7 linked regions of the Kluyveromyces lactis genome follow. The main gene of each other region encodes a partner of the protein of the gene in region 2 in a complex. Links are inferred from orthologs where the notes say so. Each region holds a gene or a part of one and is shown on either strand. Other genes may lie near its edges.

The links.
Region 1: YML6 (region 2) and MRPL28 share a complex: the UniProt entries of both Saccharomyces cerevisiae proteins name them as parts of the mitochondrial large ribosomal subunit. The link is inferred for Kluyveromyces lactis from reciprocal best matches to the Saccharomyces cerevisiae genes YML6 and MRPL28.
Region 3: YML6 (region 2) and MRP49 share a complex: the UniProt entries of both Saccharomyces cerevisiae proteins name them as parts of the mitochondrial large ribosomal subunit. The link is inferred for Kluyveromyces lactis from reciprocal best matches to the Saccharomyces cerevisiae genes YML6 and MRP49.
Region 4: YML6 (region 2) and MRPL31 share a complex: the UniProt entries of both Saccharomyces cerevisiae proteins name them as parts of the mitochondrial large ribosomal subunit. The link is inferred for Kluyveromyces lactis from reciprocal best matches to the Saccharomyces cerevisiae genes YML6 and MRPL31.
Region 5: YML6 (region 2) and MRPL38 share a complex: the UniProt entries of both Saccharomyces cerevisiae proteins name them as parts of the mitochondrial large ribosomal subunit. The link is inferred for Kluyveromyces lactis from reciprocal best matches to the Saccharomyces cerevisiae genes YML6 and MRPL38.
Region 6: YML6 (region 2) and MRX14 share a complex: the UniProt entries of both Saccharomyces cerevisiae proteins name them as parts of the mitochondrial large ribosomal subunit. The link is inferred for Kluyveromyces lactis from reciprocal best matches to the Saccharomyces cerevisiae genes YML6 and MRX14.
Region 7: YML6 (region 2) and RML2 share a complex: the UniProt entries of both Saccharomyces cerevisiae proteins name them as parts of the mitochondrial large ribosomal subunit. The link is inferred for Kluyveromyces lactis from reciprocal best matches to the Saccharomyces cerevisiae genes YML6 and RML2.

What each region holds. Positions count from the first base shown.
Region 1 is NC_006039.1:1,299,023-1,303,138, forward strand, and holds MRPL28 (mitochondrial 54S ribosomal protein mL40), read left to right. Parts: upstream 1-2,174; coding exon 2,175-2,618; downstream 2,619-4,116. Other genes in the region: LFT1 (Lft1p), read left to right, coding at 190-1,254; KLLA0_C14916g (uncharacterized protein), read right to left, coding at 1,298-1,558; KLLA0_C14949g (MFS transporter), read right to left, coding at 3,065-4,116. UniProt on the Saccharomyces cerevisiae protein: Component of the mitochondrial ribosome (mitoribosome), a dedicated translation machinery responsible for the synthesis of mitochondrial genome-encoded proteins, including at least some of the essential transmembrane subunits of the mitochondrial respiratory chain.
Region 2 is NC_006038.1:119,411-123,916, reverse strand, and holds YML6 (mitochondrial 54S ribosomal protein uL4m), read right to left. Parts: upstream 2,054-4,506; coding exon 2,015-2,053; intron 1,847-2,014; coding exon 1,097-1,846; downstream 1-1,096. Other genes in the region: RPS18A (40S ribosomal protein uS13), read right to left, coding at 248-294; snoRNA-binding rRNA-processing protein UTP6, read left to right, coding at 2,626-3,990; chromatin-binding transcription regulator ADA2, read right to left, coding at 4,084-4,506. UniProt on the Saccharomyces cerevisiae protein: Component of the mitochondrial ribosome (mitoribosome), a dedicated translation machinery responsible for the synthesis of mitochondrial genome-encoded proteins, including at least some of the essential transmembrane subunits of the mitochondrial respiratory chain.
Region 3 is NC_006038.1:622,360-626,492, reverse strand, and holds MRP49 (mitochondrial 54S ribosomal protein mL61), read left to right. Parts: upstream 1-2,556; coding exon 2,557-2,949; downstream 2,950-4,133. Other genes in the region: KLLA0_B07205g (cAMP-dependent protein kinase), read left to right, coding at 520-1,887; RKM3 (protein-lysine N-methyltransferase), read left to right, coding at 3,441-4,133. UniProt on the Saccharomyces cerevisiae protein: Component of the mitochondrial ribosome (mitoribosome), a dedicated translation machinery responsible for the synthesis of mitochondrial genome-encoded proteins, including at least some of the essential transmembrane subunits of the mitochondrial respiratory chain.
Region 4 is NC_006041.1:1,081,461-1,085,476, forward strand, and holds MRPL31 (mitochondrial 54S ribosomal protein mL60), read right to left. Parts: upstream 1,740-4,016; coding exon 1,350-1,739; downstream 1-1,349. Other genes in the region: cyclin-dependent serine/threonine protein kinase CTK1, read left to right, coding at 1-152; HSK3 (Hsk3p), read right to left, coding at 281-475; kinetochore-associated Ndc80 complex subunit SPC24, read left to right, coding at 703-1,272; CMC1 (Cmc1p), read left to right, coding at 2,077-2,388; APL2 (Apl2p), read right to left, coding at 2,566-4,016. UniProt on the Saccharomyces cerevisiae protein: Component of the mitochondrial ribosome (mitoribosome), a dedicated translation machinery responsible for the synthesis of mitochondrial genome-encoded proteins, including at least some of the essential transmembrane subunits of the mitochondrial respiratory chain.
Region 5 is NC_006037.1:612,895-616,771, reverse strand, and holds MRPL38 (mitochondrial 54S ribosomal protein uL14m), read right to left. Parts: upstream 1,794-3,877; coding exon 1,377-1,793; downstream 1-1,376. Other genes in the region: putative serine/threonine protein kinase KKQ8, read left to right, coding at 1-1,086; protein kinase NNK1, read right to left, coding at 2,255-3,877. UniProt on the Saccharomyces cerevisiae protein: Component of the mitochondrial ribosome (mitoribosome), a dedicated translation machinery responsible for the synthesis of mitochondrial genome-encoded proteins, including at least some of the essential transmembrane subunits of the mitochondrial respiratory chain.
Region 6 is NC_006042.1:1,780,536-1,784,348, reverse strand, and holds MRX14 (mitochondrial 54S ribosomal protein bL34m), read right to left. Parts: upstream 1,526-3,813; coding exon 1,175-1,525; downstream 1-1,174. Other genes in the region: MRPL1 (mitochondrial 54S ribosomal protein uL1m), read left to right, coding at 52-852; GEP5 (Gep5p), read right to left, coding at 1,938-2,855; PDS1 (securin), read left to right, coding at 3,465-3,813. UniProt on the Saccharomyces cerevisiae protein: Component of the mitochondrial ribosome (mitoribosome), a dedicated translation machinery responsible for the synthesis of mitochondrial genome-encoded proteins, including at least some of the essential transmembrane subunits of the mitochondrial respiratory chain.
Region 7 is NC_006037.1:181,906-186,770, forward strand, and holds RML2 (mitochondrial 54S ribosomal protein uL2m), read right to left. Parts: upstream 2,921-4,865; coding exon 1,715-2,920; downstream 1-1,714. Other genes in the region: VMA8 (H(+)-transporting V1 sector ATPase subunit D), read left to right, coding at 1-199; KLLA0_A02013g (putative aminopeptidase), read left to right, coding at 421-1,542; ERD1 (Erd1p), read left to right, coding at 4,315-4,865. UniProt on the Saccharomyces cerevisiae protein: Component of the mitochondrial ribosome (mitoribosome), a dedicated translation machinery responsible for the synthesis of mitochondrial genome-encoded proteins, including at least some of the essential transmembrane subunits of the mitochondrial respiratory chain.

The sequences.
Region 1 (4,116 bases), on a different chromosome or scaffold from region 2:
TTTTAACTTCACTTTCTGATTATCTGTACTGTTACTGACTTACTATTTAAATCTTTCAAATCAATCCGAGTAGTTTCTAGCGTAGAAAGATTGATAGAAAACCATGAGTACACAAACTTTACAAAAGGTTCAGAACAAGAAAACACAATAAGTGATCACTTTGCTATATCAACGGTATATGTACTGTCAATGGAGCTTCCAGACGAGGAAAACGTTTGGGATAGTGTTTTTGAGGAAAGGCAGTTGAGCGAAGTAGTACGGGATCAAGGACCAAATGATCTCGAACGACCAGCAGCGCATAAAGAACCAATTGCTACCGAACAACCACTGGGGAATAAGCTTGAGAATCAGAAAGATGATGATGATGACGAATATATTAGAAAAGTTCGTACAGCTGTAGAACAATTCGAAAAGGCAGGCTTCTTCGAGGATTTAGACGATACTAAAAAGGGTTCAAAAACAAAAGCCATGGTATATAAGCTAGCAGACGAGGTGATAGCCCGACATAAAGACAAACTCTTACGCATAAGAGACCCAAATTATGATAAGTGGTCTGAACCATTAAAAACCCCCATGATAGATAAATATCATGAAATCAAAGAAGAATGGAGACGTGAGGAAACGAACCACGGTTCCAGTAGTTTAAACAACAGTTCAATGACTACACAGAATGTTACATTTGCATGGAGTTCAAATGCTCATCGACCGGAGCTGACCGCACCAAAGAAGCCTTTGGAACCGCATTCCAATAAGAAATCAACAAATGAAATACTACGGAGTAAAGCAATGAAAAGCGCTCATGAATTAAGAAGTAAGCAAATTCTGCTCAATAAACTGCGGGATAAAAATGATAGAAACAATCTGCCTTCACAGGATGGTGATGATGTCAAGCCGAAATTTAAAATGGATCCCTTGGAACCATTTGTCGCCAAAGCTTTACCGAGAGAGAAGAAGAAGCGACCAAAGGAGAAAAGGAAGAGCAAATTTTGGTTTTGGGGATCCCTTACCCATCATACTGACGAAGGAAACCACAGAGACAAAGCTAGGTCGCCAGAGCTTGAAGATTATAAAATTGGTGTTGTATCACCGAATTCGCGGTCCCCCACGTTATCGATTCCTTTCTCTGATCCCGATAACACTCAGACTATTACCAATAACGCAGTATCGGACAACATTAACCATCACCTGTCGCTAATAGACCTCGACGATGACGAGGAACACTTAAAGTGTTCAACGCCACCGTTAATACTGTGATACGTACTTTTTTTAGGCCTAATATATTTATTTCTCATCCTATTTAAATATCATCTACATTAGCACTGTAACTATATACCTTTTTTTGAGCCGGCGTTATTATAACTTGTTCTCTGCGTACCGGGGTAGCCACGATTGCCTCTGGTATGTGGTTGGTGCTCATATGACCCACTTGATTGCAATTTTCTGCTTGCTCCTCTCGTAGTGCCTTGTCTTCCTTAAGAACATCTGTATACGTTGGAGGATCCTCTGGCAAGGAACTTTTCTTCTCATCAGGATATTGCTTCTGATCGTCTTGAGACATCTTTCCGTAAGTTTGAGTTTAACTGTTTACGACTCCGAATGTTGGTCCAAGGGAAATCTCAACTCTTCGAACAGCGTCGGTTCTGATTGCCATTAAAATATATTGTCGTTTCTATACATTATAAATGGTTCAAACAGGGTCCTTGATGTGCAGATTTCCCTTTAAAACCTTACAAATGGCGTAATGCTATATCATCATATATCAGATGTAAAGATGAAAAGAAGGAAAATATGATATCTAAGGTATTCCAGGCTTTGTTAGATTCAATTTTTCATTATGTGAGGTGGCATAGCAGGTAATCAAGACAAGTCGGAAGTTAATCACCTACCAGCTAGTCGAAGGGCAGCTACTCCCTGTGTACTTGAACCTTTTTAGGTCACGTGCAAAAGAGTTTAGCAGTCAAAATAATCAACAGTTCCGGGTAACAGACATTTGTTTGTTCAACATCAGTAACTTTGAAAAATTTTGAAGATTCGATGAGGTTTCAGTGAGTTTATTGTTAGCTTTGACAATAAATTGAATGACGATTAAATACGGGTTGATTTTCTGCGATAAGTTCGTGTGATAGCATACAGCTTCTCAGCCAACCGAAAGGATCATTAATACTCCATCCACTATGCTAGCGAGTGCAGCATCTCGTAAGAATGCCTTGAAGGTAGTGCAACCCTCTTTGAACTTTGTTCGTGGGAAAAGAACTAAATCGAAAGGTGGATTAAATCCTCAAGCGCAAAGAATCATTACACAACTCTCTGTTATGTCTGCTAGCAGGAAACAGCCAAAACTTTTAAAACTTTCCCGTGAAGATTTGATCAAACATGATATGATTCAAGCTTGTTGGGCGCAATATCAAAGGGAACTGAGGGAAAAGAGAACAAATCTCTTGAAACTACAGTACGAGAATATAGAAGAAGCTATGAACTTATTAGAACAGGTAGATCCCGAACTATATGAAATGGCTAACGCTGAAGAATCAGGTAAGAGGGTCCCATTGGAACTAAGGGTACCTACTCAATACCCACCGAACAATGTGTGGTATTATGATTACAAGAAAAAGGATTGAATAGTTCGTTTCCAGGCATAATGCATTAAAGGTAGAGCACGAATCATATTTCACATTATCTCTTCTAGGACACTTTTTTATCGGTACACCAAACGTGGGTTGCTCGAGAAACAACTTGTGTGATCTACAGGCAAGACCAAGTGCCACGCAATAAAATATAATGGAGATGTTGCATTATATATTGTAATGAAAGAGTTAGATAGAAGAAATGTAAACAAACCATGTAAATAAGCAATTCTACGAAATGATTATCGGCAGAATGAAGCTCTTAAGCTTTTCAAAGGGGACTTTAACCGTATTCCAAAGTGACAGTGTACTTCAGAAAAAAACATGGCTTCTGTGTATACATCGGTTCGAATATGAATAATGGTCTTGTTTACAAATAGCATTATTCATTTGACTTAGATGATTTTAGCTTGAATGGGTACATGGTTAGCAAAATGGCATCACCATACATATTTTCTCCAGAATGATTTGCCTGCGGTGTTTTCAACGTTTGGAAGTAGCAGCCACGACAAAATCATTAGTTGAAACAACCCAAGAACAATAGGGAAGAGAACCCATGTACCTGTGCGATCAGAAATAAGCCCAACTACTAATGGAACTACAGCACCACCGGAAGAACCCATTGAAGTCATGATCAATAACGACTGTGATAATATTTTCCTTGGTAGAATCTTGGGATGCGACACTAGAGCAATCATTAAGGGATAGATTGGGCCTATAAACAATCCAGATATTGTTGTACAAACCGCAGAAACATAGAAGTTTGGTATTAACCACGCCAAAAGCAACAATACTGAAATGTTTAACGTTAGTAGGAAAATGGAACGACGACCACCTAATTTCTTGTATAATAATGTGGTCAAGCAGAATCTCCCTAGAGTTAATCCACCCCAATAACCAGATGCTATATAACCTGTGCTGTTTGCATTACCATGACGTTCCTCTAAAAGGAAGGTAACCATCCAGCCACCAAGTGAAACTTCCCCACCTTGATAAAAGAACACGAAAGCGCACAGTAACCAAGTTCTATAATCTCTGATAGATTCCAAGAATTCCGAAGTTTTCTTGTAACTGCCACCTTTCTGATTTTGAAGCTGTAATTGTTCCATTTCCATCCTATGCAAGTCAGCTTTCTCATATTCAGCCAAGTCCTTAGAAGTATTCTTGTAAGACCAAAAGATGTTGAAGAAATTGAAGATAGATAACCCTAGTAAGATAAAGTAGTATTGATTCCATTTATATCCCACGTTAAGCATAGACTGAGCAAGCAAGGGTGCAATCAGGGCACCAACGCCATAAAATCCATGCATTAAAGCCAAACATGTACTAGCGTTCGTGAAACTGGCCAAAAATACGTTGAATTGAGTTAATCCAAGAGCTAAACCCATACCGTTGAAGTAAAATGCAACACAAATTACTGGAAACACGGTACCCGAAGAGATCAAAGCATACGCCACGATTTGGAAAGCCACTCCAAGCGAATTTAAGAAAG
Region 2 (4,506 bases):
TCTATCTGGTGGTATTCCTTCTCATTTTCTTCACTTTAATAGTATAACATCATCACTAAATGATATACCGAATGTAACGCGCAATGCATGTTTTCATAAAGCTGTCTAATACCTTTCATCTCCTCGGAACTCTTTATAACCACGGTAGTGTTGTCTTGATAATACTCGTATTCATTGCCCTTGAACATATCTCATTTCAATTTCCTCGTTGTAATCCTCTTAAAACGTTTCTCATCTTAAAACATACCGCAAAATGTGTTGGAAGGAACCTTGTTCTTGAACAACTAGAGACATCTTTGCTTCTTACTCGTTCTGTTTCGAAAACGACTACCTAATAATAAAGTATCCGTTATTTAAATATAATAACACTAATATATCATTGTTAAGTAGCTTTTCACTAATTGAACACTATGATTTTGCAAAGGTTCAAAGGTTTCCCTCCATACAAACTTGCCATTCGGTAAAACCACTATAGAACGATTGTCTCACAACCGCACAAACCAGAACTGGACAGAGGCCCAGCATACTCTGTCACTGAGCAAGATCGGTCTAGTGGTGCATGTTCCCAGCCTAGGAGCAGAAGGTGTCGGTAGGAGAAGCAGAATCAGGGGGATGGAAATTCTGTCGGGGAGGAGAAACTGGAAAGAACCGAGGCGTCGGCACACCTAATGCCCTGTCTTTCCTTAGGCACGGAGAAAACTCAGCCCAAAGTCTGAAAAACGTTGGATGGGTTTCCTAATCAGGAAACTTGAAGGAAAGGAAAAATTAAACTATTATTCGGTTATAGGCGCATTGAAAATAATAAAATGCACGGGTGTATAAGGCTTCCGACAACAGTCCGAAATGGTTGCGTCTGTTTGTCCTCGATTTGGATTTTACAGCTTGATGATGGCCACAGCATTGGTCAATTGTCTTTACAAATACGGATGTCGCTAACTTAGATAAACAGCCGTGTAGCTATTTTCATTTTATTTGTGACGTTAATATACACACATACATATATATACAAGTTGTGGATGAGTTGGTGCAATGTGGAGTTTATTATTCGAAGCTTTTATTTTAACTCCCGTCTGATGATCAGTATCTCGTTCCATAATCAAACAACGTGAGTAACAGCCAGGTATTCTAAAGCTTCCAATTCAATAAAGATTCTGTGAGCCTTAAGTAGATCGTTGACATCAACAAATTCTTTTTGGACGATGTTAACTTTATCTTGGAATCTTTCTGTAAATGAAAATAATCCTGGCCTTGGTTCGTTAATAACGAATAATAGCTTCTTGTTCTGTAGCTCATAGTGCTTTAGGAATTTTTCGAACACGATATCGCCATCTTCTGAGCCCTCCCCGATGGGAAGAATTTCCAATTCATTTAGATCAGCCTGGCTTGTTTCGGAGATTCCGTCACCACTTCCGATGACGAAGACGTTACCGTTTCTGTATTGATGACTTAGTGCGTTATTGAATGCTAAAGAGTACACTTTCTTTGGGAGCGCTGTGGTATAATCATTTGGTGCAGTTCTTGCTAGAGCTCTACCACCGTTATGCCTTATTGGTGAATTAGCGTCACCAGCTCTGGCCATACCAGATCCCTTTTGTGGTAAAATCTTTCTTCTCGAATAACCAACATCACTTCTGCCTGGGGGGTTAGAAGACCCAACACGTTTACTGTCATTTTCGTAAACAACAGCACGCCATAGTAAGTCTCTTCTCAATGGAGCATCAAATACTGAGGTTGGCACTGGTGCAAATGTCAATGGTTCTAATGATGGGAATGAACGAACCGTTGCTAAGGTATATTTTGGCGGTAGACTAGCATTAGGAAGGGGTTTGTTGGAAACGTAACGGACCTGTAGAGAATAGGGAAAAGAGTAACAAAAAATTACGAGCAATAGTTAGTAAATCGATCTTCTAAAAGTAGGTGATATAACTGCTTAATGCGGAAGGATATCATCATGCAGTTTGAGGAAAGCCCGCGCTTTACCATTGCAACAGTGATGAAAATGGGTTTGACATACGTTTTTGCACAAATTCAAACCTTGTCTCTTGGAAAACATGGCTGATTCTGATACACTGACTTAATGTCTCGATACAAAGGGGATCAATTGGACACTCCTATGTCTGATCACCGCAAACAAATCAATCATCTTTAGTATTCAACCTATTTCATATTCAGATTTTTGATTATCGAAAATTTGTCTACCATGTAAAATATCCGGGTAATGTTAAATTGCCCGAATTAACGATCAACAAAACTGTCATCTTGTATGAAAGCATACAACGACATTAAGGGTCGCAGTTTATGGTAGTCCCGAATGTCATATGTAAGCGGATTCAATTTGCAGTAAAAAAAAATCCGATTTACGCTAGCAGAACAACAATTGTACTTGTCCTTTTGTTATTCATCGATGGTTATTTAAATGGAGGACTTTATTCTGACTGATTATATGAAAAAGAAATCAATATAACCAAAAAAATTCAAAAGCTTCAAGGCTCATCTCATCTCATCTCAGTATTATTTAGCATGAACAAAGCCAGTAGTCGTTTCCTTTGTCAGTAAGCGAGCGATACGAGTCTCCGTGATTACACTTTAATCAATACTTAACATAAAACTACCCAGAGTAAGGCGATGTCATCCAGAACAAGATATTACTTGGAACAATGTATTCCAGAAGTTGATGACTTAGTGCAGAAGAAGTTATTCACTAAGAATGAAGTAAACAAAATTATGAAGAAAAGGACTGATTTTGAACACAGATTGAGTTCGAGAGGTTCAAGTATAAGTGATTACATCAGATATATTGAATACGAGAAGAATGTCGATGCATTAAGAATGAAACGTGTTAAACGTATCTTGCAATCGAACAAATCAAATAGTATTTCGGATTTTACCATACAGCAGAGGATTCTCTATATTTTCCAAAGAGGCTGCAATAAGTTCCCAAAAAAATTGAAATTTTGGTCTTTATATTTGAATCATTTAAAATCAAAGGGTACAAATGCCTCTTATAAAAAGATTCAAAACGTCTACAATCAATTGCTCAAATTACATCCAACAAACGTTGACGTTTGGATATCATGTGCTAAATATGAATACGAATTGCACGCAAACTTCAAGAGCTGTAGAAATGTTTTTCAAACTGGTCTTAGATTTAATCCAGATGCTTCTAAACTCTGGTACGAGTACGTTAAATTCGAACTGAATTTCGTGACAAAATTGTTAAATAGAAGAAAAGTGATGAATTTAATCAACGAAAGGGAACAAGAGCTAGATATGCTACAACAGCAAGAGGAAGGAAGAAACTCCAGTAATGTAACAGGTCTGGAAGAAACTGCAGATGACGAAGCATACTTTGACAAAGACGGAATTCAACTTCCAAGTACTGGTGACAAGATGAAAGATAAACTAAACGAGTTACCAGAAGCCGATATGAATATGCTTGGATCAGAAGAAACTAATCCAGCACTACGTGGTGATGTCGCATTGGTTATATTCGATATCGCAATGAAGAATCTGGGCACATCTTTTGTCAAGAAACATCAAGGATACTACGCCGTTACCAATTCGCAAGTCGATGAAGAGCTCAGCAGAAACGTTATGTCCTACCTGTTTGATAGATGCCTCGAGTATATCAACTTATTTTCGGAATTTCAAGATTTAAAAAGAGAATATCTGATAAATCACGTATTGCAATGGCTAAAGGACGAACATTATAATATTTCCCTTGAGAAAAGTATGCCAGAAAAATATGTGGAATTATTATTGCATGATGTTACATTAAATATCAAATTCATGCCTGCCGGCGAATTAAACATCGACAGTCTCCAATTGTCCTTCAAAAAGTATTCTGCATACATCAGCAAATTAGATGAGACGAATGCCAAACAACTTACTACATTATATTCTGGTTATTTGACCCAACATCTATTATCCAATATGGATAAATCTGATTCGAAGTATGCTATTTTGAATGCTATTATCAAGAAACTGTAATGAGACACTGTATACACATTTTTATGTACATATTTGACATTAAGTAGTAAGGTAAGCAGTGGAGCCAATATTTCCACAGTTTTATAACTCTAATTAAACCCAATTCTGAGAAACGAAGAAATCATAGATTCTGTTGGCCTTCGTTGCCTCGATATTCAATAAATCACGACACTGTTTCTTCGAGAGTTGACCTGCAGTCCGTATTAATTCTCTGAATAGTACCTCTTTGATGGCAATGTAAGGCTTTGGCAAAATTTTCAACGTTATGCATAACTGCTGTTCCTCAGCTGATAATAATTGGAAATCTGCCCCATGCTGAATGTCACTGATAGTCATTAGTTTCTTACGTCCACTTCCTTCGTTATAATTTTGAGCATAATCAGCTTGCGATCTATGGGCCGAAGTAGCTCTATAACGGGCAGTGTTACTAGATGAAGAAGAAGAGTACACTTGACTTCCAAATCTTTCCAATGTCATAATTCTTGCTTGTTTATCACGTTCATATTTAAGACCAGC
Region 3 (4,133 bases), about 500 kb from region 2:
AAGCGCACGTAAGATATTTGTACAATAAGTTTAATTTGACGTTGTACCGATAAAAAAATAAAAAAATAAAAACTAAAACGGTTAGGTTTTAGGCAATTTTATTCTTTTCCATCCTTTGCTATACTGTGAATTTTTTATTTGCTACTTTTCATTGTGACGTTTCCTTTTCCTCAAGGCACTGGCTTACTATTAACAATATATTCATAGTATCATCTACTGGACACACCCTGGGGTCGATACGGTTACTGAATTTCCTGATTTTCTTACCTACTTGTTTCTGTTTTGGGGTATTTCGAATAAGGGACAAGATACACTTTTCTTCATCATTAGTTTTTTTTTCAACATTCAGATCAGACCTTGGTTTGAAGGAAATCGGATAAAGGCTGGGCCTTATTTAGAACTCTTTCTAGTGAGAGTATAAGAGATATATCACTGTTTTGACTCTGTGCCAACTTTCTCTTTTTTTCCAATCTGAACCGCTATATCTTGCATGAGGCAAGACCTGCAAAGAGAAGAAAGATGAGACCTTTTGACAACGAATCCAAGGGATTTCTTTCTGGCCGAACAGATCAAATTGAATTACCTGTGGTACAGGCTGTTTCAACAAGTTCAAATTCTCAAGAACCACTTCTTTCTAGCAAAGACCCACTACGAGATGGAAGCAACGTGGGGAATAGGTTGAGTGGAAACAGCGAAACTCTGATAACCAACTCTGATGCTGATCATCCTATGGAGACGGATAATAATAACTCTAATCTTAATAATACTAATTCCTCTACTAATACTAATGATAACAAAGATTCGTCATCCAATTCCAGCAATAATGAAAATGGGGACAGTAGCAACAATTCAAATAGAAGGCATAGCAACCATTGTCACAAGCATAACCATCTAAGCAGCACTTCTACCCTCAAGGCAAGAGTTACTTCTGGAAAATATGCATTATATGATTTTCAGATTCTGAGAACTTTGGGTACAGGTTCGTTTGGTAGAGTTCATTTGGTGAGATCCAATCACAACGGCAGGTTCTATGCAATGAAAGTTTTGAAAAAAAACACCGTTGTCAAATTGAAACAAGTGGAGCATACCAACGATGAAAGAAATATGCTAAGTATAGTATCCCATCCTTTCATAATTAGAATGTGGGGAACTTTCCAGGACTCACAGCAATTGTTTATGATCATGGATTACATCGAAGGTGGTGAACTATTCTCTCTTTTAAGGAAGTCTCAAAGGTTCCCAAACCCGGTCGCGAAGTTTTATGCAGCAGAAGTTTGTCTTGCGTTGGAATACCTACATTCTAAAGGCATCATTTACAGAGATTTGAAACCAGAAAATATCCTTTTAGATAAGAACGGACATATCAAGTTAACTGATTTCGGGTTCGCTAAATATGTTCCTGATGTCACTTACACTCTCTGTGGAACACCGGACTATATCGCACCTGAAGTGGTAAGCACAAAACCTTACAACAAATCTGTGGATTGGTGGAGTTTTGGTGTTTTAATCTACGAAATGTTAGCAGGATATACACCTTTCTACGATTCAAACACAATTAAGACCTATGAGAATATTCTAAATGCTCCAGTAAGATTCCCACCATTTTTCCATTCTGATGCTCAAGATCTAATATCGAAACTCATCACAAGAGACTTAAGTCAACGGCTAGGTAATTTACAAAATGGAAGTGAGGACGTAAAGAATCATCCGTGGTTCAGCGAGGTTGTGTGGGAAAAACTACTCTGCAAAAACATTGAAACTCCATATGAACCTCCTATTCAGGCCGGACAAGGCGATACCTCTCAATACGATAGGTATCCAGAGGAAGAGGTTAATTATGGCATTCAAGGCGAAGATCCGTACCATAGTATTTTCACCAACTTTTAGCAGGCATACTTGCTCATGAAATTCAGATATCAACATGCCTCTTATCTTGCATCTACACAATATGTAAACTTTAACACGCCTTTCCCCCCGTTAGTCCCTTTTCTTTTTTTTTTTGTTTTGATATATCGGCTCATTGCCTTCAGAAACGCTGCCGTTATTTGATACATTCCTTTGAATGACCATCGTACAATACTAGATGGATTGATGTACGCACTTCCAATTCAAAATTCGTTTCATTCGTTTTGCTGTACTCTCCAATGGATGCTCGATGCAATAATCTTATTTTTGGAGTATTTATCTATCTATAATCAATGGCATTTACATATTTTGAATGCATGTATAAGACTTCATCACAAGTCCTTCCCTCACGATCCATGCTACATAAATTGTAAACTGGGGTAAGTCATGGCACATTCATTTATGTTTTGGACGTAACTTGCTTCTGTCGAATGATTTCACGTGACCAATGAATTTTTTTCCAAACTATTGAAAATTCAAAAAGTTCAGTGGACATGTCCAGTTGAAATGAGAATGATTTTACGAAATAGATGATTGAAGTGATATTGCTGAAAGTGAAGGGTCCTGGTTGCTCTACTTTATCGTCAAGGTTTATTTTACCGATTGGATACTTATACTCATTGTCACTCTAGAGAAGATCATTAATAAATAATGTCAGGAATCGTTAAACAACAAAAATTTTTGAACAAGATCAGTGCGACTACCGTGAAACCTCAAATTATATTAGATGTATCGAAGTACAGTGCATTGAATGTGAAGTTCCAGTATCAGAATTTCAATGGCCATATGGGTGCCCGTAAGTTCTGGCACGAGTTTTTGCCTTCTCTGCAGTTTTACAACCCTGCGTTGCCAATCAATGTGACCAGAATTAGAAACGATGATAAAAAAGTCGATGTACCATGCATACTAGAAGCTATTGGATCCGATGGGAAGGTTGTAGCTGAAGTTTCAATGAAGCACAAACACTCATCTGAAATTATGGATGAAGTGCTACAGAAATTGGAACACAAAAGAGTACCCCAGGAAGAAATAATAAAGGTATGAGCTCCGACCTTTGACAAAGAAAAACAAACAAACTGGAATACCTAAATATACTACTTTCAAAGTTAGGTCCTGTACATATGTATATAATAAGATACTTTTCATCCGATTTGATGTCTTATTCAAATGACATATCCTTTTGAGATGAGTTGACTCTCTGCCCAAGGATCGTCAAGACATTCAAGAACACGCGAGAAGAAGATTTAAAACGCCAGTATATGGTTACCAGGTGGTTATTTAACTTGAATTTCAGAACGCCTCTTACATCTAATTGTCATTAAGACATCTTACATTAACAGCGACTTCTTCATCTGCGGAAATGGTTTTCTGCGTATTGTTCAGTTGAAATTTTTCAATCTCGAAAATGATAAATCGCTTCAGATCTCATCATCTCATCTCATCTCATCGGTTGACCACAGAAATTATCAACACCCCAAAGAGGCATATAGTAGGGGCATTATTCACAGGTGAAGACTCTCAACCCAACAACACGAATGTCTAATACAGACTCCAGTGATACAGATGATATTCTAACATTTGTACTGGAATCCAAGGGGTTTTTCCACACTGCCGGCTGTGAGATTAGAAGATCTGATTATGGTGGTTTAGGAGTGTTTGCATTAAAGGATTTGAAGGAGGACACTGTACTCCTTAGGATTCCGAAATCTTCTGTTTTCACTGCAGAAAATAGTAGCATTGCCAATCTACTGGTTGATAGCGAGGTAAAAGGCATGTTGGCATTAAACATTGCATATATTTATGAAGTATTCATATTTCAAGTTGAAAGCCATTGGTACAAATATTTGAAGAGCATTTCACACAGACAAAATGGGAGTCTATATCTTCCACCGGCATACTGGGAAGATAATGAGAAAATTTTGCTGAAGAATACTGCATTGGATGTTGTATTCGAGGCGTTGTCTCCACAAGAAGAGATAGAAAATGGTTTCAAAGTTGGTATTGCATTATCCCGTAAGTGGAACGAAGAATTTGGGCTGAAAATACCGTATTTGTTCGACTTCAATTTAGAAGATCAGAAGCAAGTCTCTTCGAATTTTAAAGAATTTGCTGCTATAGCATTCGCCATATCGTCAAGAGTATTTGAGATCGACAACTATCATGATTCTGGATTAGTTGCCATAGCAGACCTTTTTAACCATCACGCAACGAGGCCCGACGTAAGGTTT
Region 4 (4,016 bases), on a different chromosome or scaffold from region 2:
CGACAACTGAAGCATTACAGCATCATTACTTCACAAATGAACCCAAACCACAACCTCTACTCTTGGGACCCGAGTTCAAAGGTTCGCACGAGTACGAAGTGAAAAAGATCAGAAGGAAGGAGCGCGAACGCCAGAAGGAGACCACCGTTTAGAGAAGAAGCGGGGGTTTTCCTTTGATCTCATTTTCTCATTTTCTCATGATCCATAGATATTAGGTATACGTTCATATATACATATAGTGTTACAAACCGATATTTATCGTAGGCATGTATCTCATACCTCATTTCTTTAACATTTCATCTTCGAATACACGGTTACTGCCGATGAAAGTGCTGGCTTGGACGGCTCCCAGTTTCGTTATCATATTGCTTTGGTTTGCCATGATTTCCACTTGAGCCGTTGTCTCATCGAGATTCTCACGAAGTTGTTTCAAATGTGCTGCTAGTCTCGCATATTGGCGCTGTTTGTTGTCCATGGTAAATATCAGTAACGTGGATGACCTTCCGAGTAAAGATCTTGAGCAATATCCTTTGGTACTTCTGTTTTAAAGGTTCTCTGCTATTAGTGGATGCAATTTTAAAGATTCAATGTTTTGATTTAAGTGAACACAATTGACAATCTCATCGAATTGAATCATAAATAGATGTGATATATGAAACAGTACTGCACAGTACTGAGCAACAGTGGATATTGCAGCACCCAATGTCACGGCTCAATGATCCAGTAGAGCTTTTACAGCAAACCCGGTCCAATTTCATCATTGAAAGCGATGTCTCTAATATTAAAGAGATCAAGAGTAATATGAGACAGCTCACGAAATTGATGGCTGAGAAACAAACACACCACAATGAGCTCATGAAACAATTGCAATCACAGCTGCAAAGACAGCAAACTAAAGTGCAGGCACTTAAAAAGAATTTTCAGGAGCAAACAAGCCAAGTGAAACGCGTAGAGGACGAATTAAACATACCGAAATTGCAACAAGACATAGATAAACTGGTACAGGAAATTAACCAGCTTCGAGATACGATACAAGAGGGTATTCAAAAGGTCGTAGAAACACAGAAACAATTACTCAATGACGATACTGATGCTGCCCACACGATTGATGAGGAACCGATCGGTAAAGATGACAAGATACGTGTGCTAAAGTTGAAGTTGTTCCATTCCCTTGACGTAGCACTATATAATGACCAATTGCTCGATCTAAGGAATGAAGCCCGTCCATTATCATCATCATCATCATCTCACAACATCTGGGATGAACTATGATACCTTGATTTTATTCACTATGTACAGGGGCTACTTACTATGTAATAATAGAAGTTTTTAATGATGATTCATCCAAATCAGAAATGACGTGGGTTTCTTCTGATGGAAAGCTTGGTCCATTTGGGAACTTTATGTATACCCTTTCTATATCCCTTCGAGTACCTGTTGAATACACTGTACTTATCAGTAGCAGACATCTCCGGTTCCTTTGGGAAATACTGAGCCTTGTCTAAAATACGTAAGCTCTTCACACGAGGTTTAATCTTACGTAGATTCAGCTGAGATCCCTCAGAAACCGCCATATGGTTTCTTTCAAGATGAAGACCTAACTTAAGAGTTGAAAGAACATCATCAACGCTTCTCAAACGGTCTCTTTGTCTTGCTTTTTGAGGACCAGACATACGCCATGGGACTTTCCATAATAATCCACCTAATGCAGGTTGTGTAGCTCTGAATGCACCGAACATTTCTCTATGAAACAAAGATATTCAATTGACCCGGGTATGACAGAACCTAACGAGCTGCTTAAACAGTTTGTATAACGGTGCTACTGGCTGGCTTTTACCAATTTCCCACCGTAATTCATGGTATTAAATCTTTTAAACCTTCGAAATTTTTCAAAGTATCCATGAAAAAGCTTTAAATCTCAACATTATGCAAATGAACAATGTCAACTGATTTAAACGATTTTGGGGAACAGCCAGCGTATTGTCATTTGTAGCTGCTGCTGTGTCCATAACCATAGGTCAGAAGTTCTTATAGTACTGGAATACTGCACCACAAAGATAGATTATTCATTTAGAAATGTCAGAGGGCGTTGGAAAGCATAATCAAAGATTACCAATTTGGGTATTGAACCCTACCGAGGAGAAAGAAGCTCGTCAGAATTTGAAGAAATTTGCATATGCACAATGTGTAGAATACGTGGAGGCCATGGTCGAATGTTCAAAGATTCATGGATTGAAGCTTTTCCCAGCGTGTAACGAACCTCGTGACGCTATGCGCAAATGTATATTATCATACCAGAAGGATTCTAATCTGGATCGTCAACGTGACTTGATAGTGGAACGTAAGATTGAGAGACTTGAGGATCTTCTCAAGAAACAAAAGGAATAAAGTTGACATGATATGACATGACATGACATGCCACTGGGGTTACTTGTATATAGTAGTAGATACTGCACCATAATAAATTAACATTTTAGAAAGGCACATCCATGATTGAAGTTTATCTGCTTCATTGTTTCCCATTATAATTATAGTTTGTACAGGTGTTCAAAAGAGTAAACTAGTTTACATTAAGTCTAGAAGATCGGTTGCATGGGAATTCGAGGTGTTGTTGTTGTTATTATTGGTTTTCTGTGAAATGTTTACTTTCCCCATATCACCAGTGATATCGAAAAGATCATTTAGTTCGTCCAGGACGCCTGTACTTCTCGTGGCAGAGCTATCACCCATGTCAAGTAGTACATCATCGTTCATGTTTTTCAGGATCTCGTTCGTGGCCATTCCCTTTAATTCATCAATATCCTTATCCTTAATGATGTGAACTTCGTTGGGACGGCGTTGCATCTGCGAGATTGGTTTGAAATACACAGAGGATAGAGTGGAGAGCTCTTGAAGTAGACTTTGTAATGTTTCCTTGGAGAAGTGGTCCAAGGTAGAATGCAATTTAGGAATTTCATGCTTGTCAAATAATTGGTTGATGATTTGATCACCGTTGTCGATCGATAGACACCGCCAGTACATCATGGCCATGTCTCTAACGTCCAAATCGTGGACGTCTGTCGTACAAAGTTCCAAGATCTTCTGTAAGAAAGCACTTGAGACTGCATTATGGCATTTCACTACACCCATTAGAAGGGACATTTGAGTTAGGGATCCTAATTCATCGAAAACTTCTACCAGTGGTTCAAGCTTAGTTTCCAAATTTTCGTTTGTATAGTTGGTGATAAACCAGATGTAGTTACAACTGCCTAGATCAGATGTAAATATGGTATCGATATCTTGCCATGAGGAAATTATGGCACCCAACTCATTCTTACTTGTTTCCTTGATAAGATTGTTGTCACTGTCATAACGTAACATGTCGCATACGCATCTCATCAATATATCCCTAAACTCTTCTCTCTCCTGGACAATCGAAACGAATTCTTCCATGACCATATTCAAAAACTTGTTATTCGTATCTTCACCTCCGTTCGAGACTTTAATGGCCAATTGTGAGATGGATTGGATAGCTTTGGTCACGAATTCATGATCAAAGTCCTTTGCATATTCTTTTAATTCGTTGAAAAGCATCTGGCAATGTTTCAAATTATCCACGGGCACTAATCTGAGCAAGATGTCTAATTTCTCTATCTTCACGTACAATGGATCATTAAATTTGACATAGAATATTCTTAACTCTTTCCTTAACAAGTTTGGGAAGGCATCCAAAATAATTCTTATATTTCTCAAAGCAACATATTGGATCTCCACTGGGGTCGACATTAGTGAGACCAATGCAGTTGATAACTTGTTGTATATAGAGTCATGGACTGTGTTCAAATTTGGTAGATGTATGAGTATACATTTAACACTGATCAAGACCACTGATGGATTTACGTGTTGCAAATGTGGAACAACTCTATCGATAATTTCTTGAGACTCCATAGGGTCAATTGGTTTGTGTTCGCTCAATGACTCCAAAATAGTGATTCTTGCCCATTCTGTACATTCGTTCAACACGTTCAAAAACCTCT
Region 5 (3,877 bases), on a different chromosome or scaffold from region 2:
AAACTGATAAACCAATTAACCGAAAAGATCGATAACGGATTTTGTTTGAAGGGCTCTAAGTCTGATGCAGTTTCCTCCAATGAACCTTCTTCTGCTCCACGAAAGCAGCATTTATGTGAGAAATACGGGAAGTCGATCGGTATCATTGGACAAGGTGCCTATGGGGTTGTAAAACTATGCTATAAATTTATTGACCCAGATGAACCTGATCTGAAAGATAATACATATTTCCATGATAACAAGTTATTCTATGCGGTAAAAGAACTGAAGCCAAGACCTGATGAGCCTCCAAAGAAGTTTAGCACAAGACTAACCTCAGAATTTGTGATAGGATTATCGTTGAGTGGTGGTAACAAAAGCAGAAGATCTTCGGCAAGAACACATCCTAACATTTTAAACGTTATTGATTTAATGCAAACACCTAACGCATTTTATGAAGTAATGGAATTTTGCCCTTCAGGTGATCTATACAGCTTGATTACAAGAAGCTCAAAATCTGATTCAGTTTTACATCCATTAGAAGCAGATTGCTTCATGAAACAACTACTACATGGTATTCAATACATGCATGCTCACGGTGTAGCTCATTGTGATATTAAACCAGAAAACTTGCTATTTCTCCCTACAGGTGTATTAAAAATATGTGATTTTGGTACAAGTTCTGTGTTCCAAACAGCCTGGGAAAAGAAAGCACATTTCCAAACCGGACCAGCAGGATCTGAGCCTTATGTTGCGCCTGAGGAGTTTATTCCAAAACAACAATACGATCCAAGACTAGTTGATTGCTGGAGCTGTGGTATTATCTACTGTGTTATGGTTTTAGGCCATTATTTATGGAAAATTGCTATCAAAGGCAAGGATTCAGTATATGACGCATTCCTCGAGGATATGGAAAAACATGGACAATATTATGTATTTGACGAAATGAAACATGTGTCTCCAGGTATGAACCGGTACAGAACTGCTGCACTTTATCATATCTTCCAAGTTGATCCGAATAAAAGGATAACGGTGGATTCATTGCTAAAAAGTTCGTGGATGAAGAGGACAAAATGCTGCGTTACATATCCACCAAGGCCGGTGTAACACCAAAATTTGTTTCATAGCTGAAGGCCTTGCTACTTTGGCAGATTTAGATTAGTTTCTTTCGCATCATTTTTATCTATATTTAAGATAAACATACATCTCTTTGAAACACTTATAAAATATTGATATCACTGTCAATGAGCAATAAGTTGGTAGTCGCGTATCCATCATATTTATCATGGCATTTTCATAAACTTTACTAACGATATTTTCTATTTTTTATTATCTATATACATGATTCTAAAAGCCCTGCGCAGTCGTAATCGATATTTACCAGTGGTGAAACATATTTACAAAACTTTACTTGCTAGAGAGCAAATCTTGTTGTAGCCCTTTTCCCTTAGTTCTCTGCCGACAACACCATCGTTACCCATAATTCTTGACCCTAGAGGTTCACCATTATTCTTGTTGATTAATACACAAGCATTGTCACCGAACGCAATTGTTGATCCATCAGGACGTATCATATTTCTTTGCTTGGTACGTACCACCACAGCGTGTACAATATCACCTTTCTTCACTCTGTTGTTATTGGATTGCCCAGTAATAGTTTGTGTTAATGGTTTAGCCTTCTTCACCACACAGACGATTTTGTCACCTATTCTACCTGGAGATTTTGGCGAACCTTTTCCAAGTACTTTGATACATTCGGCAATTTGAGCACCTGAGTTGTCAATGACTTTCAAAAAAGACTTCAAATAAATCATGTTATAACAGTCACAGTGTGAACTTCAGTTAGGTCGTGTGCTGCAGGCTGCTACTGATCGGGAAAGCACAGCTTTTCTTCCTGGACTATCGTTAGAGAAAGGATTAAAGCTTTCTATGTCTGGTTTCATCAAATTTTTTCTTAACCCATAATTGATGTATATCACGTGATTGATTTATTATTGGCTAATCAACGCCATTATCAACGCTTACTACATACAAATAAAGTGCTTACAACGCCGTCATTGTTAAGACAGCTGGTGTTTTCATTAGTTATCGTTATATACTTCAGTAAAATTATTAAGTATTATGCTGTTGAGAATGGTAAAACATCAGAAAAAAGGTCAATGTAACAGTATGCGTTACTATTAATGCTATTGGTATGCTTGTTGAATTAAAAATTAAGGGTTATAACTGACAAGGACAGAATAGTAGAAAATATTTTGTTAGTTTAGGATTAGTTTCAATGCTTACCCAGAGCTACTTTCACCATATCAAGTTCCCATCTCCGGGTTAAGTCTTTCGTTAAGCAGCCCTTCACTGCGTTGAATAGACCTTGGAATTCCACCTGGTCATCTACACCCAAGTTCGAGTTCATATCACAGTTACAAACTTGGCGTAGTGTCGTTTTATCATATTTACCTGAAGTTATTATTGCACGAAGTCTGGGCTCGTATTCATGTTTAAAAGGTAATTTGCCGGTAAGCATGGTGAAAATTAAAACACCAATGGCCCATATATCAGCGCTTGGTCCAATGGGAGGAGGGTTGGGTTCTAGTAACTCCGGAGCAGCGTATGGTAAAGAGCCAATTCTGCTCATGTCATCGTTGATATGTTCATGCAAATCTTTGTTAGGTGTTAATGTAATGTCTGTTTTTTGGTTCAACGAGCTGGTTAGGTTAGAACGAGTGCTCTTTGGTACGGAGTGAATACCCAAAGTCGTATCATCATGAATTAATTTTTTATCGTTCACTATTTGTCTTAACCTTGATTTCAACCGTAAAGAAGAATTATTCGTTGAAGAGGAAGATCTTGGAATTGAGGGTCTTCGTTTCAAGTGAAGAGTAGACCCATCAAATAGGGATTTCAGTTGAATTGATTCATTTTCCATCTGATCTTTGAAATGGCCATAAAAGTGACTCATGCCAAAATCGCATAATACAAGCTTCCAATCTTTGTAGTTCTCAGACTTTTTTTCTAGAAGGCAATTTTCCAACTTTATATCTCCATGTGCAATGAATTTAGAATGCATATATTGTACAGCATCAATTAATTGTAACGCTAAGGCGGATGTAGCTTGACACCTTTCTCTTAAACTAATCTTTGAATTACCACATTCGCCCCAAGAAACAACTAAATCGTATAAGGTTCCATGATCGATCTTATCTGTTAAACAATATGCCACCAGATCATCGTCTAATTTCCATTTTGTTAAAGGAAGAATATTATTGTGGGAAAGTTTCGACCATATTGAGATTTCACGTAGTACTTGCCTCTTTACACTTCGATTGTCCTTGAACTTGATAATCTTCATCGCCTTGCAACAAGTATTATTCTGGTTTTGAGATTCATCTGTAGAAGGGAAACATTCCCTGATCATACCCCAAGCGCCGAACCCTATTATTTTGCCAAGTCTATGACCCAAAATGAAAGACCCTTTATCGTCCCTCTTGAAAGAACTAGAACCGGGGGTAAAAGAGTTCAAGTATTTCGATGCAACTGATCCATGTCTGGATCTCACGTTATGTGTTGAGCCACTGTGGCTTAATTTCTCACGTTTCAAAATGTTCATAATAGTCTTATAGTCATGGTTGGGACTTAAATCCTGTATGATCTTCTTACGTTGGGAAAATGGCATATTGATGAAATCCGATGGAATAGATCTCATAATTCTATCTAGGTCATGTTCTGATATTTCAATTTGGGCAGGTGGAGTTCTCAGAGACGATGCAGAAAATAACGATGATGAGCTCGGTCTTGCTATAGGAATTTGAGGCTGTTGCTCATTTTTAACATTTGGTAAAGGGATAGGAGCCACTTGGGAATGCAAATCGTCTAGTTTCAATACTGATTCCTTCTGTGGCTT
Region 6 (3,813 bases), on a different chromosome or scaffold from region 2:
ACCTGAGATTTTTTCCAATTTCGCTACTTAGAGGCTAATAGGGTCGGCAAGATGTTTCCAAGAATATTCACCAGGCAGTTCCAGATAACGTCCTTCCGTCTAGCGGAAGAAACGGGTACTAAGTTGACTAAAGAGCAACTTAGAAAGAGGGAGCTAAGAAAAATGGTTCAAAGAAGATTGCAAGCAAAAACTCCGGCCAGTGACCATCCACTGTATATGCCAGTTTCTAGAGCACTAAGATACTTACGTGCAATCGAAGTCGGGCAACCAGCAAGCCAACAAACCATCACGTTAACTACATTGGTGGTAGCAGAAAGAGGTGTCCCCCCTCTTACAGGTAATGTTTCCTTCGGCAAACCTCTTAAAGATGTGAAAGTTGCTGTCTTCACTAATGACGAGGCACAAGCGGCTTTGATGAAAGATAAATACAGTGTTCATTTAGTCGGCGGTTCAGATTTAGTAAGTCAAATCAAGGCTGGTGAAGTCAGTATCGACTTTGACAAGGCTTTTGCAACTCCAGATATTGTTCCACAACTTGCTTCTCAAGTTGGTAGAATTTTGGGTCCTCGTGGTTTACTGCCAACTGCCAAGAAGGGAACCGTCGCCGAAGATCTTGAGCCATTGATTAAAGATAGTATGAGCTCTGTTCCATTCAGACAACGTGGTAACAGTATTAGTTTAGGTGTTGCCAAGACCCATTTCACTGACAAGGAAGTTCTAGAGAACTTGTTGGCAACACAGAAGGCTTTCAAACAATCTATCACCAATCAACAAACGAAAAAACCAAGCATATTGTCCCAAACTACGCTGACAAGTACACACGGTCCTGGTATTGTGATTGACTTTGCTTAATAAAGCAACCCAATTTTTATGAACAATAACTGGAATTGTTGTCCTTGTCAAGATAGAATGAAACTTACTTCAGAAATAATGCCCATGTACATAGAAATCGTTAATAGAAAAAAGATTCCTTCTGCAATTGATAACTATAAACCTATCCGATAGAATCATCTTAATGTCATGCCAGCTTTCTGATGGCAAAGCTAAAATCAAAACTGTTCCGTTTTCTTAAAATACATAATGACGATGTGGATATATATACAGGAGATTCAGCCATTCTTTATAATCAGGCGCTTCCATAACGTTCCTGGTTTGATTGGAAAGTTGAACAGAACTAATAAGTCAAATACCATCTGCCTTTATTCTTTCTTCTTTTAAGTATCTGTTGTCCACTTCTAGATCTTGCCCTTGCTAGGAACCCCACTCTTCTCTTTCTCTTTAAAGTACTCGGTTGGAAAGTGTTACCTCTACTTTTCCATCTTCTCTGAGTCAAATCGAACAACATACCAAATATTGATGAGCCATTTGCTTGTGTTTGAGATTGTAAAGTGATTTCCATTGGATTGACTTGCGCCAAAGGTCTATGAAGACGTGAGTCTAGTGTTCTTAAAGGTGAGAAACTAGAGAAACTGGTTAATGTACGTTTTGAGGTCCACTGAAGAAGATTTCTTGTTATAAAACTCATAACGACTGGATGAGATTTTATTTTAATTGTTCTTCACTTCGAATTAAATCCTTATCGATAACTAATGAGTAGTTCGGGCGACTACTTTTAGGAGACTTCGTCTTCAAGAAATATGTCCTGGTTTCTCTTCGTTTGATTTCTTTGAATTCAAATTTTTTCTTTCTCGAGACTAATGTAAATGTATGAAAATATCGATGGATGTTGGAAATAGTGAAAGCATCTGTGGAAGCGAACAAACTTGGCTTCTAGCAAACCGCTGAAACTTCAAATCGGTCTTAGACTAGTCTGTTACAATAAGTGTATTGGCGGTTTCATTTCCTGGCTAACATTATTATTAAAGTGTTTTCTATTTACATTGAGCTAAAATGGTAGCTGTAGGTAAATTATATATCACGTGATGTGTGTTCATAAGTCAATTATGTTCTTCCTCAAGGGCAGCAGCTAAGTTCTCGCTCAAATTTTCCTTCGACAGGACAAATCCGCCTCTAGCAAGTTCACTTATTTCGAACTTCCCATCTTTGAAAAGGTAAGATCTGCTGGCAACATTTTTATACAATCTTTTCGTTCGCCTATTGAGATCTGGGTCGTTAACTATTGACGTTAATATAGACTCTGCATCTGAAGTCAGCACCGGATTTTGCGAGTAGAGCAGGTCACTAATTAGCTTGACCTTTTTCTTAAACAAGTTATCGATCCTGATGTCGGCTATATCGAAACCATCAGGTTTCATTCCGATCTCAACGATTGGTGCCTGGAGTTTTTTTGTAGCGCATAGTTTCGGATTTGTCTTCAAGAAATAGTAATGCTCGAAAATTTGCCGTAGTGTCTCCTTTATCTTTTCTGCAGGGAGTCTTAATACTTCTGTAATTTGAGTTGATTGAAGACCGTCAATTCCTGTGATATCTTTTATAAGTTCCTCATTCGGAGTCTGCCAGTTTTTCGGCCGCAGCCACTTATGACGATTGAAGCTCAAGAAATCCAAAGCATCCTTATTGTTACGAGACCATAAAATCGTTTGAGATGTTAGATTTGGGTCATCCATTTCTAAAATCGAGTGCTGCATTTCATAGGGCCAAAATTTTGCCAACTCATTAGGGTATTGTCTCAATATGTCTACGTGTTTAGGAGGATCGTTCAACAAATGGAAATGAACAGAATAGACTAATTTCTCCAAGGTCTTGCGTGTTGGATTCTCATTGAAAGAGTTTAACCGATGTAGCGTTTCATGTTGCTTATTCTTGGGGAAAGTGTCCACCTTCGAAATGGCGTCTTTAGTTATTGAATGAAGACCCTTGTATAATTTCGAAGTTCTCAGAAGACTAGCCTTCATCGTCAACCTCCAAAACTGTTGTCAAAAAAATACGCACAATACTTCACAGTATGTCCATTCGATTATGACCTATTTTAAACAGTAATAACCTTCGTCTTTAGATTAATACAGAACCTCTTCCGAGCCTGTTCTCTGTATGAAGATCGTCATGTGTGTGCTCTAGGCTAGAAAATTTTCGTACCTACTTACTATTCCATATTGCAATTTGGAAAGCCAGACACGAAACGAAACCAGGAAGAACAGCGACACAAACTCACATTTTGTAGTAGGCACTGCTACTGCTCCTTGTTGACGTGGGCATAGTCTCAAAGCATCGCGACATTCCGGATTCTTTTGGAGTATTTTCATGAGTACTAAGCAATGAAGATGTATCCAGTATCACCGTAACATCCATACACCACATATACTCAGTTTGATTCACCAAATTCGATCAAAAACAACAACACAAATATACAAACATAACAAAAACTGTCTCAAAATTTACAAACAGTAAGAGCTCAAGGTCGTTCAAAGCCGAGCAATCAACGGTAAGATATTCCAATTTTGTCTGTTAAGCTAGCGTGAAGTCAGACTAGAAGAGATATTGGCTATATACAGATTCAAATAGCTATGCCGAACGAAGGGAAGGAGAATATCATATCCGTCCAAGATCCTGACAATGATTTGGGTCTGAGGACCCCTCTAAACCAGATGAAGCGGACGGACTCATTAGTACGGGGCAACAGACGCCCACTAGCTAGCAAAGATAATAACAGGACGCAATCTATACTAAGTGTGAAGAATAATGCTGCGTTGGGAAAGAGTGATCACCCTTTAAAAAGGCCCGCCAGTAGCTTTATGAAGAATATGCCTGAAAATAAACTGAAGAAATACGGAAGTGTCCTGGGGATGAACACTTTTATGCCACGAACGAAGTCATTGGTGCTGAAAGATACAGAGCTAAATGAAAAGAATGACG
Region 7 (4,865 bases), on a different chromosome or scaffold from region 2:
GATTCAAACTGCTCAGTTGGATGCTGAAATGAAGCAGAAGAAATTAGATGAAGCAAATGCTGAGTCTGAAGGTAAACCAGATTCTCAAGAAGCGACCAAAACTGGCGTAGAAGCTGCCGACACACAAGAACAAGAAGAACAATCTGGCCCACAAGTAGAAGCTCTGATTACCGAACAAGAGGAAGATGTCATCTTTTGATCTTTGGTTTCTCCCTTTCTCCATTATTGTATATCAATGAATATCATTTTCCATAATATGTACACTAAACTTCTAAACAACGTTAGTTCTACTTAGATGTCAAAAAAACCCTTTTTCCCTTCAGAAACAAGTGGATAAATACTGTATTAAAAGGGACAGTACAAGCATCTACCGGTGTATACTTTGCTTCAACTCCGTAGCAAATATCAGATTGGCTAGTTATGAAGTTTGGGTGGTTCTTGTTGGCAGCTTCTGTGGCAGCTTTGCCATTTGATAGTTTACATGTTCTTGAGATCGAGGAAGGTAAGACTATTATGGTACGAGAGACCGAGAAATGGTCTCTCAAGAGGAAAGGAGTGCAATTCATGGATATTACCAATTTTCCCAAATTACTTAAGTCCAAAGATGAAAAGGCTGTTGTGCCAGTGTACCGTTATCCGAAGGAAACTCAATGCGACGAAATTGTAAATTCGTTGTCCAAGGGAGTTGATAAGGTTTCAATGCATGATAATTTGGCAAAATTCACAAGTTTCTACACTCGCTATTACAAATCTGACACGGGGTACGAATCTGCTGTTTGGCTCTCCGAGAAATTATCTAACATCACTAGTCCATTGAACAATGACGTTGTCATTGAACATGTTCAGCATAAAGGTTGGAAGCAATTCTCCATCATCGTATCGATTAAAGGAGCACAAACTCCCGAGAACATTGTCGTAATGGGATCGCATCAGGACTCTATGAACCTTTTATTGCCATCGATACTTGCTGCGCCAGGAGCTGATGACGATGGATCTGGTACCGTAACCAATCTAGAGGCATTGAGATTATACGTTGAACATCTCTCTACAACAGGTTACAGACCCAATAACACCATTGAGTTCCATTTCTATAGTGCAGAAGAAGGTGGTTTACTAGGTTCTTTGGATGTCTTCACCAGGTATGCAGAGGAGAACAAAAAAGTCGTCGCAATGTTGCAACAAGATATGACCGGATATGTTGAAGATCCAGAAAATGAGCATGTTGGTGTCATTACTGATTATACCACGCCAGGTCTAACTGAATTTATTAAGTTGATTATAAGAAGATTCTTGGATATTCCTTACGTGGAAACGGAATGTGGATATGCATGTAGTGATCACGGAAGTGCAACGAAGAATGGATTCCCCGCTTCCTTTGTCATTGAAAGTGAGTTCAACAAATCTAACAAATACATTCACAGTACGATGGACACTTTAGACAGACTTTCATTTGATCACATGGCCCAGCATGTAAGGTTAGTCGTTGGTTCCTTATTCGAACTTGGGAACTGGGAATTTAAGCTGGAAGAAGAGACCAAATGATGCTCTGGATGTAGTAATCTAAACTTTGTTTAAAATAGAGTTGGTAACTGAACAGATGTTATGTTATTTCTTTAAATTAACTAGTTCTACGATATTTACAGGATGGAAGTCATTGAAATAAGTTTACAAAAACTGATGATATTTAAGATAGGATCAGTTGTGGGGAAGCTTATCATTGTCTAGCCTTTCTACCAGCCTTACCTCTTGGTCTATCTTTAACCTTCATTTTGTTTTGATGCTTACCCCTTCTTGTCTTGTAACCCTTGGCCAATTGACCCCATGGAGACATGGACAACTTTTTGGACTTAGATTTACCTCTACCACCACCGTGAGGATGGTCACATTTGTTCATTGCCACACCTCTGACAGTTGGTCTTATACCCAACCATCTAGATCTACCAGCTTTACCTAGAGAACGGTTTTGATGGTCAATATTTGAGACAACACCCATGGTAGCTGCAGCTTCCAATGATACGTAACGGTGCTCACCACTTTGTAGACGGACAACAGCTTTATTCTTTTCTGGGATCTTGGATAAGATACGTGCGTAAGAACCAGCAGCACGACAGAACTTACCTGGACCTGTAGGAGTGATACCAATATTATGAACGATGGATCCGATTGGGATCATAGAGATTGGTAGACAGTTACCTCTTTGAGCTGTTCTAACAGATAAGATGGCAGGATCGATCTTCCCACCCATTTCTTTCAAAAATGATGGTGGAATACCTTTTCTGTATGATTCGATGGTATCCCCAGCTCTTAGCCCATCACATGCTAAAATGTAGCTTAGGGCACCAGTATCGTTATGTTTTATCAATGCAATATGTGCACTTCTACCAGGATCGTATTCGATTCTTTCCACAGTTTGCATACCAGATTCGAAACGACTGAAATCGACTGTTCTCAATCTTCTTTTATGACCACCACCACGATGTCTCACCGTGATCTTACCACTATGGTTTCTACCACCATTTCCTCTCTTGGCAAGAGTCAAAGATTTAACAGGTCTTCCCTTATGCAAATATGGATAAATTGGCGCACGGTACCATCTCAAACCTGGAGAAACCGGTTTCAATTTCTTCATTTGTGTAACTTCCTTAGCCAACTTTCTTCTTCTTCTTAACAATTCGTCTTGCTTCTCTAGTGCTACCACATCTGTGTTATTAGGAACGATTTTCAACATATGGACATTGACATCGTCAACTGAAGATTGTTCTTCATTCCCGGTTGGAGTGATGCTGGCCATAGATCTGATTCCACCAAGTGAAGTATTGTTCAAAGACATTATCATCGAAACATTCCACGGAACTTGAACTCTTGAGGAGACGCCGCTGGCAAGCGGCGTCAGGCATCTCAAGTTGAATTGCTTGAACATGATATTATATCCAGAGCACCTAACGAGATTCTTAGGGTAAACCGTCTAATACCAATATCTCCGCTTTGCTACTGCCCTTCACAGAAATAATAAAATAACTCTGATCTTAATAAGATTTGTTATAGATATATCCACCCTTATATATATCAATATCCATAGTTTAAAATGTTTAAGTCATTGCAATTACATTGTTCATTTTTGTTAATATCAAAATCTTTCAAGCGATCTCTAATTTCAAACAGCTTCAATACCATCAGAGGAATATCGTCAAATGGAATTTTTTGCAAGAAGTATCACTATGAACGTATTCTGAATTTACCCGGATTATATAATATTTGGTCACGTGATTCAGGAAATCTTTGTGTACTTATTTTGTGCCCTAATGGCAGACCAGTCTCTCATGGTTAGATTGACTATTCTTTCTGTTTTATGGTTTTTAGTTTAAATAACTGGAAAAGTGAAAAATTTTGAGGTAAGTTTCTATCTCATCACGAATACTTTATTATCCGTTACAAAGCTTTTAATTAGAGTTAGAGACATAACCAACAAGGATTCGATTTGTAGTGTATCAGGAACAGGAGTTCCTGTTCGCAACGTATTCTGTCTTTTTTACTGAACTCAAACGGAAATCAAATTCCTCTTCATGTCGGGAAATGAACAAGTAAAAGGAACGACGAAGATAATGACTGTCTGTATGGAAATACCATCATTTGGATTGTTTTTTTTTTGAGTATATCGATTATGATGACCGCTGTCGCCCCAAACGGATTTCGAAAATATGAACGATTCGACTAGCATTAGCCAAACACTGAAAATTCTGATCAATCGATTACTTTATTAAAATAAACTGTCCAGGCAATACAGTACAAGTTATATCTTCTTGTTTGTTTGACTTTCTTCATTTCCGGATATATTCGGGTAGTCGAAGTGTACGTTAGATGTGTCAGTGGATTACTCGGCATTCTCTATCTTAAATATATAGACCTATTAATGATGAACTAAAAGTTTCCATGCTAATCATGAATAAAATTCAAAATTTTAAAGGATTAGAAACACGCTTTTTGTTATCTCTAACAGTCCTGAATACGTTTATATATAGCATTAGCTGTTCCATTCTTGTACTTGTAACTTGTGCTTTTCGGTAGTGTGTGTTTTTTTATTTTTGGTGCCGGTATCTGAATTGTAAACACGTCTTGAAAAGATGTCAATAGAAATAAAAGTGTTATCTTAGGACTAAAAACGTAGGATCCTAGATTATACAGAGCTCTGAGACAGTGAACCACAAATCTAAACCGTTAGCGATACACACAGGGCCTTTCTGAAAGGGATTTCTTCTGCTTCTATTCCTCCTTTTTTTGTTACATTTTTTTGATTCCTTATTTATACGTGCATTCATGGACGCCGAATCTGTTGAACCCTTTCTGGTTTACCTACCGATCCCACAGAGAGTTGTTGTCCTTGTGTTATTAGGGTTATGGCTATGGACATGGTTCCTGAAGGTATCAGTATCCTACTACGACGTGTCCAAAGTAATTGTATCCAATGAGTCCACGGGACTACCTTACTTTAACACATCCACGAAAATACACCAATCAAGCCTGAAACTGTTCAAGTCAATCTCTAGAGTCATTATACCGTGGCAATTGGTATGTATAATCTTATTCCAATACTCCTTCACTAATAACGTATCCAACAAATTGCTTTGGTTTTTTTTGAATGTTTCACCACTACTGGAGTTGTTTTACATATTTGCAATGATATTAAGGTCATCAGCAATGGTCGCAAGGTGCTTTAAAAGAATACTTTGGGTAGCTGACATTGAACCAAAGCCGTATAGGAATAACTATATTATAATTAGTGATACTTTGACCTCGTACTCTAAGCCATTGGTGGATTTAGCTATTTATGCCACTTTCCTTTTCCATGATCCAACAAACGTCAAGTG